Saccharomyces cerevisiae S288C: one gene and its partners. Changing the gene in region 4 together with the main gene of any one other region gives a genetic interaction. Each region holds a gene or a part of one and is shown on either strand. Other genes may lie near its edges.

Region 1 (3,018 bases), on a different chromosome or scaffold from region 4:
TTAATTTGCAAGCTTCGCAGTTTACACTCTCATCGTCGCTCTCATCATCGCTTCCGTTGTTGTTTTCCTTAGTAGCGTCTGCTTCCAGAGAGTATTTATCTCTTATTACCTCTAAAGGTTCTGCTTGATTTCTGACTTTGTTCGCCTCATGTGCATATTTTTCTTGGTTCTTTTGGGACAAAATATGCGTAAAGGACTTTTGTTGTTCCCTCACATTCCAGTTTAGTTGTCGACTGATACTGTTAATAAACTCATCGGGCGAGGCTTCCACGGTTGGAAAAGCATATGGGCTGGCGCATATGGTTATAAAATCACCTTTTTGCAATTCAATTCTATCTTTCCCATCAAAAGCCGCCCATGCTGGAGCCCTTGACTTCATCGAGACTTTCACTTTTAAATTTATACTTTCTGGTAAGATGATGGGTCTGAAACTCAATGCATGTGGACAAATGGGTGTTAAAGCGATTGCATTGACGGTTGGGCATACCAATGACCCACCTGCACTCAAAGAATAGGCCGTGGACCCAGTCGGAGTAGCAGCAATCAGTCCGTCCGCCTGCGCAACGGTCATTAATGAGCCGTCACCATACAATTCTAACATGGATAGAAAAGGACTTGGACCACGATCGATGGTCACTTCGTTCAAAATGTGGTGTGTGCTTAGTTTTTCCACCACACATATTTTCTTCCCCGTGTTTGGGTCTACTTCAGGGCGGTGTCTACGATAAATTGTGCACTCCAACCTCAACCGTAAATTTGTCTTGATTTTATGATTCATAATCCGAGGTAAATCCTCCCTGAAATGTTCAAACTTAAAATTTGTTAAAAATCCTAGAGACCCTAATGAAAACGACATAACGGGTGGTACATGTCTCTGAAAAATGGAACTTACAAAAAGAACAGTACCGTCGCCACCCAAAGTCACTACCAAATCGAAGAAAACATCATGTTCCCTGATGAAATCCTTTGTCCAATACTTGATCCTTGATTCTCTACATTTACTATCTTCACATAACTCGCCAGCGGCAAATTTTTTGCTGTTTTTCAATTCGGAATCCACATAAACAGTCACACGTGGAAAATGTACCAAAACCCATTCTACCAACTCTCTTGTTAAGAAATACAGTGAGACATCGTTGAGTTTCGTAACAATCATCAAATTTTCCACATCCAGTTCCACTTTGGTATTAGATATATCTTTACTCAACATTCTTACACCATACGCCGTGGAGGCATACTGAAAGTGTGTATTACTACTCTTAGAACTTCCTCTTGTTCCGTTAATGCTCGTACCACCGCCACTGTTTGCATTGCCGTTCACGAGAGATGAATCTTTATTCAACAGGGAGCTTCTGCGCGAGCTGCTTTCACTTGATATTTTCCTCAACATTTCTTTGGCGTTGTCGATATCCTGAGTTCTATCAATTTGCTCATTGTTCATCATGGCCTTCTTCATCAAGTTATTATTGTTGTTATGATGATCATTTCGACCATCTTCCTCATTTACCCATTTATCTACGCCATTATTCATGTCATTCTCCTTCATCTCAAGAGCTTTTACTCTACTTATTTAGGGAGCCTATTGTATTTTTTTTTGGCTTACGATCACGATGTCAATGATCATTTGCCCTATTATACCTTTTTCTCCGTTCTCTTTGCGTAGTGCGGTGAAATAATTTCAGGATGCATGAAAGAGCAAATAAAAGTGACACACCGTTATATCGCAAGGCGCACCACATCAGTAATCAGATACCTGTGCATTCAAAATGAGTAGAAATGTAGATAAGGCCAACTCAGTTCTGGTACGATTTCAAGAGCAGCAAGCAGAGTCGGCAGGTGGATACAAGGATTATTCACGTTACCAGAGGCCCAGGAACGTGTCTAAGGTAAAATCCATAAAAGAGGCCAACGAATGGAAGCGACAAGTAAGTAAAGAGATAAAACAAAAAAGCACAAGAATATATGATCCGTCTTTAAATGAAATGCAGATTGCGGAACTTAACGACGAACTTAATAATCTTTTCAAAGAATGGAAGAGATGGCAGTGGCACATTGACCATACACTTATGGAAAAAAAAACCAAGAGGAAAAGGTTAGAAGACAGTCATGTGCTGATGAATTCAGGAAAGCTGATAAATGGTAAGAGATATTTTGGAAGAGCCCTGGAATTGCCTGAAGTAAAAGAATGGCTCAAGCAGTCTCAAAGGCAGAATGATGGGGGTTCTATAAACACCAAATGCATACCGAAGGATAGAAATGATTTTTATTACCATGGCAAAGTCACAGCCGCCTTAACCGAATTTGAGGCTAACTGGACATCCATTTTGAAAGCACATTATAATGTGCCTGTGAATGAAGATGAAGAAGAAATGTCAAGGCAGACACAAGAAATCCATGTACCAACTCTGGCAGATATGGAGCATTGGTTAGTGCAAAGAAGAAAAAAGAAACTAATGGATGAACTTAACCTTTAGCTATGGAAAATTATTCAAACATTTAGAAGAGGCACTATTTCGAATGACCATCACAAGCATTATAATCTTCAAACATGTCCGAGCTGCAGATATGAAGTAAAATAGTGATCGGGACTCATTTTTTTTTCTTCTATGATATCATATTGTCCCGTTCGTTATTAAATGTAATTCTTCCACCGTACTAGTTATCGAAGGCAAGATCTCCTTTTTACGCTTAGGTAGATTACATAGATTTCATAATGTACACCAATACAAATGTATCTTATACACTCGTCAAATCTTATATGAATCATGCAGGAGTAGCTCTCGTTTTCTTTTTACGAGCTACTTGAAAAAAAAAAACTAGCGAAAATCCTTTGCTTAGAAATCCAGATTTAAAACAAAACCGCCGAAAAGGGAAAGATTTTATGATAGGAAATACCTTAATAATTCTATATCATCCCGAGTCTTAGGAAAATGATTAGATCTGTGAGAAGGGTTTTCATTTACGTCTCAATATTCGTATTGATAATAGTTTTGAAAAGAACATTAAGTGGCACAGATC
Region 2 (2,729 bases), on a different chromosome or scaffold from region 4:
ATCTTTAAAAAAAATGTGGATTGCCTCACTTATATGTTTGATACGCAGTCCTATGTGTACTTAACCAGTTATAAAAATAAAATATAAATAGAAAGTATAAAGTCAAAACAAAGAAACAGTATGTTCCAAGATTTCTACTCACGGAATTTTTTCCAGTTTTTTGGCTTTACCAACCCTTGAGCATCATAATATTCCTTACCACAAGAGTAACCTTGGAAAGTGAAATCATTACCTTGGTCACATTCACAGTTGTTACTGTTATAGACCTCCTTGTCCAATGGGCAGTTATCATAAGGTGGATGATGGTAACCAATGTCTGAAAAATAATGGATTTTATCCTTTGGCAAAAACAAAGCAGCAGCAATAGAATGAACGGGAGCATCGCCCCATCTTTCGTAGAAAAATCCACCTTGATGATCCAAAGTGTCAAAATACTCTCTGTAGGCTGGTGACCTCCACAAATTCAAGTTTGCAATTTCAAAGTTTGACCAGAAATGGCACAGATTGTATGTTTTACCATTATCGTTCGAAAGAAAACTCATCAGGTTGTTTTCATCTAAGTATTCGGGGTTCTTTTTGATGAAATCCATGGACGTTTGCCATAGTGTTGGGATCGTCACTTCATATTCATGAATAGAAACGGTAAAGCCGTAAACTTTTTCGTTTTCTTGCATCCACTTAAAAACGTCGTAATTAATATCACAGTATAACTTGATGTCTGGTTCCACACGCCAGTACCAATCGTACTCTTCTAATAATTCATGTCTCCAGAAAAACCCAGATTGGTAACGACACATGTGTCTATAAGATTCGGAGCCACCGTATATGTATTTGGTGGCAGCATCTGCACGAATTTCAGCAGCCTTGGTTTGATTAATCCATTCAGGATATGACCAATGTTCCTTGGGCAAAATACCAAACTTAACTTCGGAAGAAACAGCTTTGGTGACTGCTTCCTTGAATTCTTCAGTAAAAGGTTCATCGTTTAGGAAAACCCAAGGATATGGGAATTTCTTGTTAATTTTGTTTTCCACATATTTAATGGAGCTTAGCAAACCTTTCAACTCCTTGTTTCTCACCAAAGTGACGTAACAAGCTTTTGGCTTACCAGCTTTGTTAGCAAAAGATGGAGTGATATAATCCATGGTTGTTTTAGTGTCGATCGGGGCATCTGCCTTTTCAGCGGCAGCTTTCAGAGCCTTGGATTCTTCATCCATGGCTTCGGAGTCTTCGCTTGCCTCTGAATTCAGAGCACTTTGCTCTAATTTTTTAGCATCATTTTCCTCAGAGATGACTTGTTGTTCAGGGGATATAGATCCTGAGGTAAAATCAAATGCAGCGGAGATGGAACTCGGAATATATTGCTGAGTTCTACTGTTGGAATTCAATGTTAGGAGGAGAACAATAACCGCACCTGCAATGACGGTAAATCTCAACAGTCTCTTACTGAGAAAGAGGGCCATGCTTTCGAGTGGAACTGCTTGCGAATATGGATATCACTTCCAGTATTATAGATTCATAAAATGTATAAACGAATTAAATCGCAAATTATCTCCTTTTCAGACTGTTTCTTCACCAAATTTCTTTTTTTTTTCCTACTAGAAGAAGGCGTAGCAGATAAGAAGGAAAAATTATATTAAGCGTGCGGGTAAAGGCAAGGAAGAATCAAGTAAGACCTCAAGAATGGCACTATAAGTGTGGTATTATAATCTGTGTAATCCTAATTTGAGCTCTACACAATACCATTCGACGGTTAACAGCTACTGCATCACCGTCCAGTCATGTCGTACAACGGAATAGGGCTCAAGTCGGCAAAAGGGTCATCTACGTCGGGCCACGTGCAGCGATCACTTGCTAGCAACAATAGGCGCAGACCACAGGGTAGTCAACAGCAGCGGCAACAACGACAAAATGCGATCAAAAAGGCCAGCCATGACAAGGCAAGCAGGCCTCTTGCTGTGCAGAAACAGATAGAGACTCATATGGAGAAACGTGAGATTGAAGTACAAGTTAGCGAGCTACGGGACCGACTGGAGGAGGAAGAAACGCTCTCGGAAGAGCAGATTGACAAGAAATGTGAAGCGTTGAGGGCAAAACTGACGAACGAGTGGCAAGAACAGCAGCGGATGTCCTCTTTGTACACCCCTCGTAAGGCGCGTCTAACGGAAGAGCAGCATCGACATGAATAGCAGCATTGACGATAGCGATAAGCTTCGCGCGTAGAGGAAAAGTAAAGGGATTTTAGTATATAAAGAAAGAAGTGTATCTAAACGTTTATATTTTTTCGTGCTCCACATTTTGCCAGCAAGTGGCTACATAAACATTTACATATCAGCATACGGGACATTATTTGAACGCGCATTAGCAGCATGATGACTCACACATTACCAAGCGAACAGACACGTCTTGTTCCTGGATCTGACTCGAGCTCTCGTCCTAAAAAGAGACGGATCTCGAAGAGATCAAAGATAATAGTATCCACTGTGGTCTGTATTGGTTTGTTGCTGGTTTTAGTGCAACTGGCATTTCCAAGCAGTTTTGCATTACGTTCTGCATCACACAAGAAGAAGAATGTCATATTCTTCGTGACGGATGGGATGGGACCTGCGTCTTTGTCCATGGCAAGATCATTCAACCAGCATGTTAATGATTTACCTATAGACGACATCCTGACACTTGACGAGCATTTTATCGGGTCTTCGAGAACAAGGTCCTCGGACTCACTAGTC
Region 3 (3,300 bases), on a different chromosome or scaffold from region 4:
ATGTATTAGTAAAAGAGAATGAAATCAAAAAAATACAGAATGATTACAAAGAAAGTATCAGTTCTATGGACAGTGCAAGTAAGGCACTAATGGTTTCACAAAGAGAGCTAGAGAAGTACAAGAGTTTGAATAAAAAGTTAATCGACGAGTTAGATGAATTGAAGTTCAAAAATGGCGTCTGCAGTGAAAATTTCGAAAATGGTCTCAGAAGCACCGAGGAGAGTTCCAATAATGTAAAAAATAGCAACAGCATAAGAGAAAATCAATTCAACATCAAAATAAATGATCTGAAAGCGGAACTCTTCATCACTAATCAAGAAAGAGATGACTTGAAAAGTGAAGTGTTAGAGTTGAAAAAGAGATTATTGAATTTGGAAAATAACACCAAACAAGTTAATGAAGATGCTGACAGCGATCTACTATAAAAGACAATATGCGTAATGAAATTTCACTTTTCATGTGTAATAACAATAATAATAATAAACATTGATAATAAACATTAATAATATTAATAGTAATCATAACAATTATAATAATGATATAATATAATAATAACTGTACTCTTGACAAAAATTTATATATCATGGAAGAATAAATGAAGGAGAGAAATAGTAACGTGACAAATAGCTTATGCTAACGATATCAAACTAAATCTCAGGGACTACTAAACTGAAATATGCTCCCATTTGAAGCCTGTCTCTCATACATCAGCGCAGAATAGTCCGATTGCAGTATTTGGGCGGTGCTGGACGAAGATATGGGTCTGATTTCATTTACTTCACTTCGTAGCAATGTAAAGCTAAATTCATCCTCTATTTCATCTCCTGCTTGATCATTCCTCTGTATTAAAGGATCGTCATATAATGTGTCACTATACAGAAGACAGGTATCATTATTATTGCTTTCCACCCTCTTCGGCATGCATACTGGGTCGCCTAAGATAAACGGAAGAGATACTGTTGCAGATTTCTTAAAGGAATTGCTTAAGAGGTACGTTGAAGCTGTTCGTTTTAACCCAGGCTTAGGATAGTTTGTCCATGACATGATACAATTTACTGCCTTATCAAATTCATCTTTATTTATCCTTTTTACGGTCTTGTTATTTAACCCAAATTGAATGCTAACCCTTTCAGTTACAAAGTATTGGTGAAGAAAGTCTTGCGTACATGTGATCTTATTTGTATCTTCCTCCTCGATGGACATGTTGTCCAAGTTGCTGTATGTTCTTTTCTTCAGCAGTTTGTTTTCTTATACAAAAGATATATTTTATTTGGTATAGCGGAAAATAGCCGCCAAATATTGTGCGTCAAAGTTGAAGAAACATAAAGTTTAACACTACTGGTTTATGAAAGAAAAGACTACATTTGTAAGCCTACTCCAAATTGACCTTTGAATAAGTGTGGCTTACTCTATTAGCTAAAGGACATTATCACTCATCACCATGAACATTCAGTAGTAACATAAAAGTCCCTGCCTTGTTTGTGAATGAGGGTCCCTTCCTTTACATTCTACCAACATAGTCTCCTTTTCTTCCATTTATGCCCTAATAATCGATTTTAATTACTTAATGGGTAAGTTTCTCTGACTAGATTAAAAGAAGCGCATCCGAACAAATTGGAATGACCATGCTAAGCTGCCTTTTAAAGAACAAGGGAAAACTTTGATAAAAACACTCAAGTGCACCATATTGTTTGTAGAAGGATATGAAATATACGCAATACCCGAACAGCTCAAAACTGAAAAGAAATAGTGATCGACGTGAACACGACGAAAAGCTTAGCGATGAGTTACATAATCAAAGTACGATATATGAAGATGAAGAGCTAAGCAGGGCAGAATATGATTCTGATTCTGATTCTAGCGTTGAAGATTCTACAGATAATGAAAATAGTGGGAAAGAAATGGATGAAAAATCCTATGAAAAAAATGAAGATCACGTCGAAGACCATAGAAAGCGAAAGAAATCGAAAATTCAGCTTTTGGATATTGCAGAGTTCAAGAAAGAAAACTTAGCCGACTTAGATTATCAGATCGGTAATTCAGAGAGCAAGGTAGAAAAAGGTGTGAATATAGAGCCATTTAATATAGATGACGAAATAAAACATGGGGTATTCGATAAAGATGGGAATTATATTAAGACAGAAAACGCCACAGAAAATGATCAACAAGATAATGAGGAATGGATGAATGATGTCATAAATACAGAGGAGGTAAATCGCTTAGAAAAGGAACAAAGTGTCAAAACGCAGAATTCGAGACATTATATGGTCCACGAAGCATTAAATCTTTTGAAATTTTTTCTTGTTGATGAGAATGAAACAGTACTGGAATCCTTGGGCAGGTTAAACAAGCTGCGAAAAATTGCCATTTCAAAAAAGAACAAATCATTGAAATATGTTATTCACGGAATCGAGCTATTATCTGATTTGATCAATATACTAGAAAAAAAGGGATTCAGTGAAGTATATGAATATAACCGCTTAAAAGTTCAGGATGCTATAGAAGAGGAAATTTTCGATGACTCCTCCAGAATAGTTAACCATAAAACAAAGTTATGGGGCTTCAAGTGGTTGAACAAATTAGATGAATATCACGGCCTGTACACGAACTATGAAATGTCTTATTGGCAAAAATCCTACTTCAAAAACAGTGTTATAGTAAAATTTCACAGCGAACCAGATCGAGATGAAAACTGGATACATGTATCGTGTTTAAGTTTCATGTAAGATATAAAAGTTGAAATTATTCAAGAGAATTGCCTGCGAGACTATATAGTACTAAGTTTATTGTTTGGTCAGATAAATTGATGAATGTTGGATAGGAAATTTTTATCAATCATATCAAAAGATCTGAGTGAGCTGAGAAGGTTATCATCATATAACAAATAAACAGGACTATATTATTGGCAGACAAAAAATGAGTATCACAAGTGTACAAGGAAACCAGGACAGTAAACCTACTGTCGCAAATTTCCTCTATCCACCTGGCGCGTAAGAATCACCTGATAAAGATATCGTTGAAAGCATCGACCTAGACATTTTTAAGCTGCCATAAATTGGGCTGATAAATTTGTGATATTTTTCTCCAACTGTTTATGGTCTCTTATATACTTTGCGAAATTCTAGAAAAACGAAAAGGTGAAAAAAAGAAACCCGGAAAGGGCGAAAAAAAAAAGTACTTAGGGTTAGCACCACAATTATATAAAATGCTATGTATTTTACAATATAATCATGAGCCAAGAAATAAAAAAAGTTCACCCATTCTATTAGACAAGACGGGGTCCTTCTGATTATTGAAGAG
Region 4 (3,199 bases):
TTTTAGTTTGTGTAAAATTAATTTGATAAATAAATGAATGAAAATGATCAATAATAAGCGAATAACTATATTTTTAATTACCTTATTTTTACAATATTTTTCACTTGCACTTTTATTTTATTTTCAGCGCGCAGCTCGTCTTGTTCTGTTGAAATTCAAAGATACCTGAAGGAACATTACAACATCAATCAACACTTGAGTAGAAATATACACGATCCAATAAAATATACTGAAGCGAAGCAATCAGAAATGGATGCAATATCTGATCCAACGTTTAAGCATGCTAGATCAAGAAAACAGGTTACTGAAGAATCACCATCTTTGCTTACCGTTATTATAGAAATTGCACCAAAGTTATGGACAACTTTTGATGAGGAAGGAAATGAGAAAGGAAGTATAATAAAGGTTTTAGAGGCATTGATAGTATTTCTCAATGCTCACTTAGCGTTCAATAGCGCCAACAAAGTAGCAGTCATTGCTGCATACTCTCAGGGAATCAAATATTTATACCCAGAGAGCACATCTGCTCTAAAAGCCTCTGAATCTGAAAATAAAACCCGTAGTGATCTTAAGATTATTAACTCAGATATGTATAGACGTTTTAGAAACGTTGATGAGACGCTAGTGGAAGAAATATATAAACTATTTGAGTTAGAAAAGAAACAAATCGAACAAAATAGTCAAAGGAGCACGCTAGCAGGTGCCATGTCAGCTGGGCTGACTTATGTAAACAGAATATCAAAAGAGTCAGTAACTACCTCATTAAAATCAAGGCTACTTGTTCTTACGTGCGGGAGTGGCAGTAGTAAAGATGAAATTTTCCAATACATCCCTATAATGAACTGTATTTTTTCCGCAACAAAAATGAAATGTCCCATTGATGTCGTAAAGATTGGTGGTTCTAAGGAAAGCACGTTTTTACAGCAAACGACGGATGCCACAAATGGCGTTTATTTACATGTTGAATCTACAGAAGGGCTAATTCAATATTTAGCAACTGCAATGTTTATTGATCCGTCGTTAAGACCTATAATTGTTAAGCCAAACCATGGATCTGTAGATTTTAGGACATCATGCTATTTAACAGGGAGAGTTGTTGCCGTTGGATTCATCTGTTCAGTTTGCCTATGTGTCTTATCAATCATACCGCCCGGAAATAAATGTCCTGCTTGTGATTCTCAATTTGATGAGCACGTAATTGCCAAGTTGAAGAGGAAACCAGTTGTTCCAAGGTTGAAAGCCAAAAAGAAGGTGACGAAACCATGAACGAAAGGAATGAACATTATCCGTTTCAAGCAGGTAACCTTCGTCACAATGCATCGTAATAATACATAAAAAAAAATTAGCTTTAAGCACATGTATATTGGACATTCCACAGAAAAAAAAAAGCTTTTGATGTGATTAGCTTAAGACGTTGTGTCATCTTTGAACTGTTTTGACTTCAATCATATCGAATTTGATAATATAACTATCTATGTACTGTCTGGGTGCATCGCTGTTGTTGCTTCGGTAGATTTATTAGTTCGCTTTGGATAATGTATCATACAATAACATTGCCAACATCCATCATAACAGAAACATTAGGTGATAAACAATGAAAAGAGGAGAAAGCCAGGCGCCTGATGCCATCTTTGGTCAATCTCGTGCATTTGCACTATCTGATTCTTCAGTGAATCCTGATGTCATTGAATATCTTAAAAGTGTTAGGCAAGAAGCACTAAGAACCAACGCCATATCGATTAAGAATCATATGAATCTGCAAAAGAGGACGCGTCACAAATCAAGCATGTACGATGATGAGGATGAGGGGGCCCTTAAAAGGCACGCCATCTCGCCATCCTTGATTAGGCTTCAAAGGAATGTAGAAATATGGGTAAGGTGGTTTAACTCTGTGAAGGCGACGGTGTTGACTAATGCCTACGAGTTTACCGGTTATGAGGACGAAACACTGGATCTTTTATTGCTTTTCTTAAAGAATTATCTCGAAGATATGCCCAGCAAATGTACTACAGTTGAAAAAATTATAAGTGTCCTAAATCAGCATTCCTTTCCTGAGAAGGCAGAAGAGAAGGAAGAAAATCTTCAGATTGATGAGGAATGGGCGAAGAATATTTTGGTACGGCTGGAAAAAACCAAGATTGACAGTGTTGAGGATGTAAAAAAAGTAATCACTGAAGGAGATAAACATGAACTAGTTGGATACAACCAGTGGTTCCAATACCTTATAAACAATGAACCGCAGCATACTACTTTTCATGAAAAGATTACCTCTAAGCAACTTTGGGTTCTGATCAAGTATATGTCGAATACATGGATAAAAGAAATACACAAGAAAGGAAGGCATTATCGTCGGCTGCAAGATTGGCTATTCTACATACTGGTACATACACCCGAAAGAGTCACGGCAGAATATACAAGCATCTTGAGAGATCTTGGAAAGAAATGCCTTGAACTGATTCAAAAGAAGCCAGTTGAAGCACATGAGAATAAAATAACACTCCCGAAGGAGATGGCGGAATTGAATGTTGAGATACCAGCCGCGGTGGAGAATATGACGATAACTGAGCTGACAGTGTCTGTTATAGCAGTGAACTATGGTCAAAAAGACTTGATAGAATAATGTAAATAAATTTCTTATGTAGTTTTTTACAGGAAGTAAAAAGTGTTATTACTTTGATTGACTCATTCTTACATTTACTGATAGGCCGAAGATAAGCGGCGCCCTAAGAAAACTCGAGCGCAAATTGTCAGCGATGATGTAGCCATGCTATAGCATCAATCAATGTCAATAAGCTAATAACAACTATCATCTATACTCCAACGCAGCTCTCTTGTTTAGGTTTCTCGTCAATCAAATTCGCATCACGAAGAAGTATGTCTGAAGAATTTCCATCTCCTCAACTAATCGATGATTTGGAAGAACATCCACAGCATGATAATGCTCGAGTCGTGAAAGATTTGCTTGCAGGTACAGCGGGTGGTATTGCGCAAGTGCTAGTGGGCCAGCCCTTTGATACGACAAAAGTTAGGTTACAAACATCGAGCACCCCAACAACAGCCATGGAAGTCGTCAGAAAGCTGCTTGCCAATGAAGGGCCTCGCGGGTTTTACAAAGGAACTCTGACGCCATTAATTGGTGTTGGTGCATGTGTTTCATTACAATTTGGTGTTAATGAAGCTATGAAGAGATTTTTTCATC

Evidence for each region.
Region 1: mutations in BRR1 (region 4) and ISY1 together harm fitness more than expected from each alone (negative genetic interaction), as found in Saccharomyces cerevisiae (3 studies listed by BioGRID).
Region 2: mutations in BRR1 (region 4) and CWC21 together harm fitness more than expected from each alone (negative genetic interaction), as found in Saccharomyces cerevisiae (3 studies listed by BioGRID, with this or other methods).
Region 3: mutations in BRR1 (region 4) and LIN1 together harm fitness more than expected from each alone (negative genetic interaction), as found in Saccharomyces cerevisiae (3 studies listed by BioGRID).

What each region holds. Positions count from the first base shown.
Region 1 is NC_001142.9:526,931-529,948, forward strand, and holds ISY1 (Isy1p), read left to right. Parts: upstream 1-1,766; coding exon 1,767-2,474; downstream 2,475-3,018. Other genes in the region: UTR1 (NADH/NAD(+) kinase), read right to left, coding at 1-1,546; OSM1 (fumarate reductase), read left to right, coding at 2,931-3,018. UniProt on the Saccharomyces cerevisiae protein: Involved in pre-mRNA splicing and cell cycle control.
Region 2 is NC_001136.10:1,419,891-1,422,619, reverse strand, and holds CWC21 (U2-type spliceosomal complex subunit CWC21), read left to right. Parts: upstream 1-1,781; coding exon 1,782-2,189; downstream 2,190-2,729. Other genes in the region: alpha-1,2-mannosyltransferase KRE2, read right to left, coding at 135-1,463; alkaline phosphatase PHO8, read left to right, coding at 2,370-2,729. UniProt on the Saccharomyces cerevisiae protein: Involved in pre-mRNA splicing. May function at or prior to the first catalytic step of splicing at the catalytic center of the spliceosome, together with ISY1. May do so by stabilizing the catalytic center or the position of the RNA substrate.
Region 3 is NC_001140.6:410,810-414,109, reverse strand, and holds LIN1 (U5 snRNP complex subunit LIN1), read left to right. Parts: upstream 1-1,703; coding exon 1,704-2,726; downstream 2,727-3,300. Other genes in the region: KEL1 (Kel1p), read left to right, coding at 1-425; REC104 (Rec104p), read right to left, coding at 655-1,203.
Region 4 is NC_001148.4:670,877-674,075, forward strand, and holds BRR1 (Brr1p), read left to right. Parts: upstream 1-1,594; coding exon 1,595-2,620; downstream 2,621-3,199. Other genes in the region: TFIIH/NER complex subunit TFB4, read left to right, coding at 250-1,266; YMC1 (organic acid transporter), read left to right, coding at 2,875-3,199. UniProt on the Saccharomyces cerevisiae protein: Involved in mRNA splicing. Required for snRNA accumulation and manufacture of snRNPs.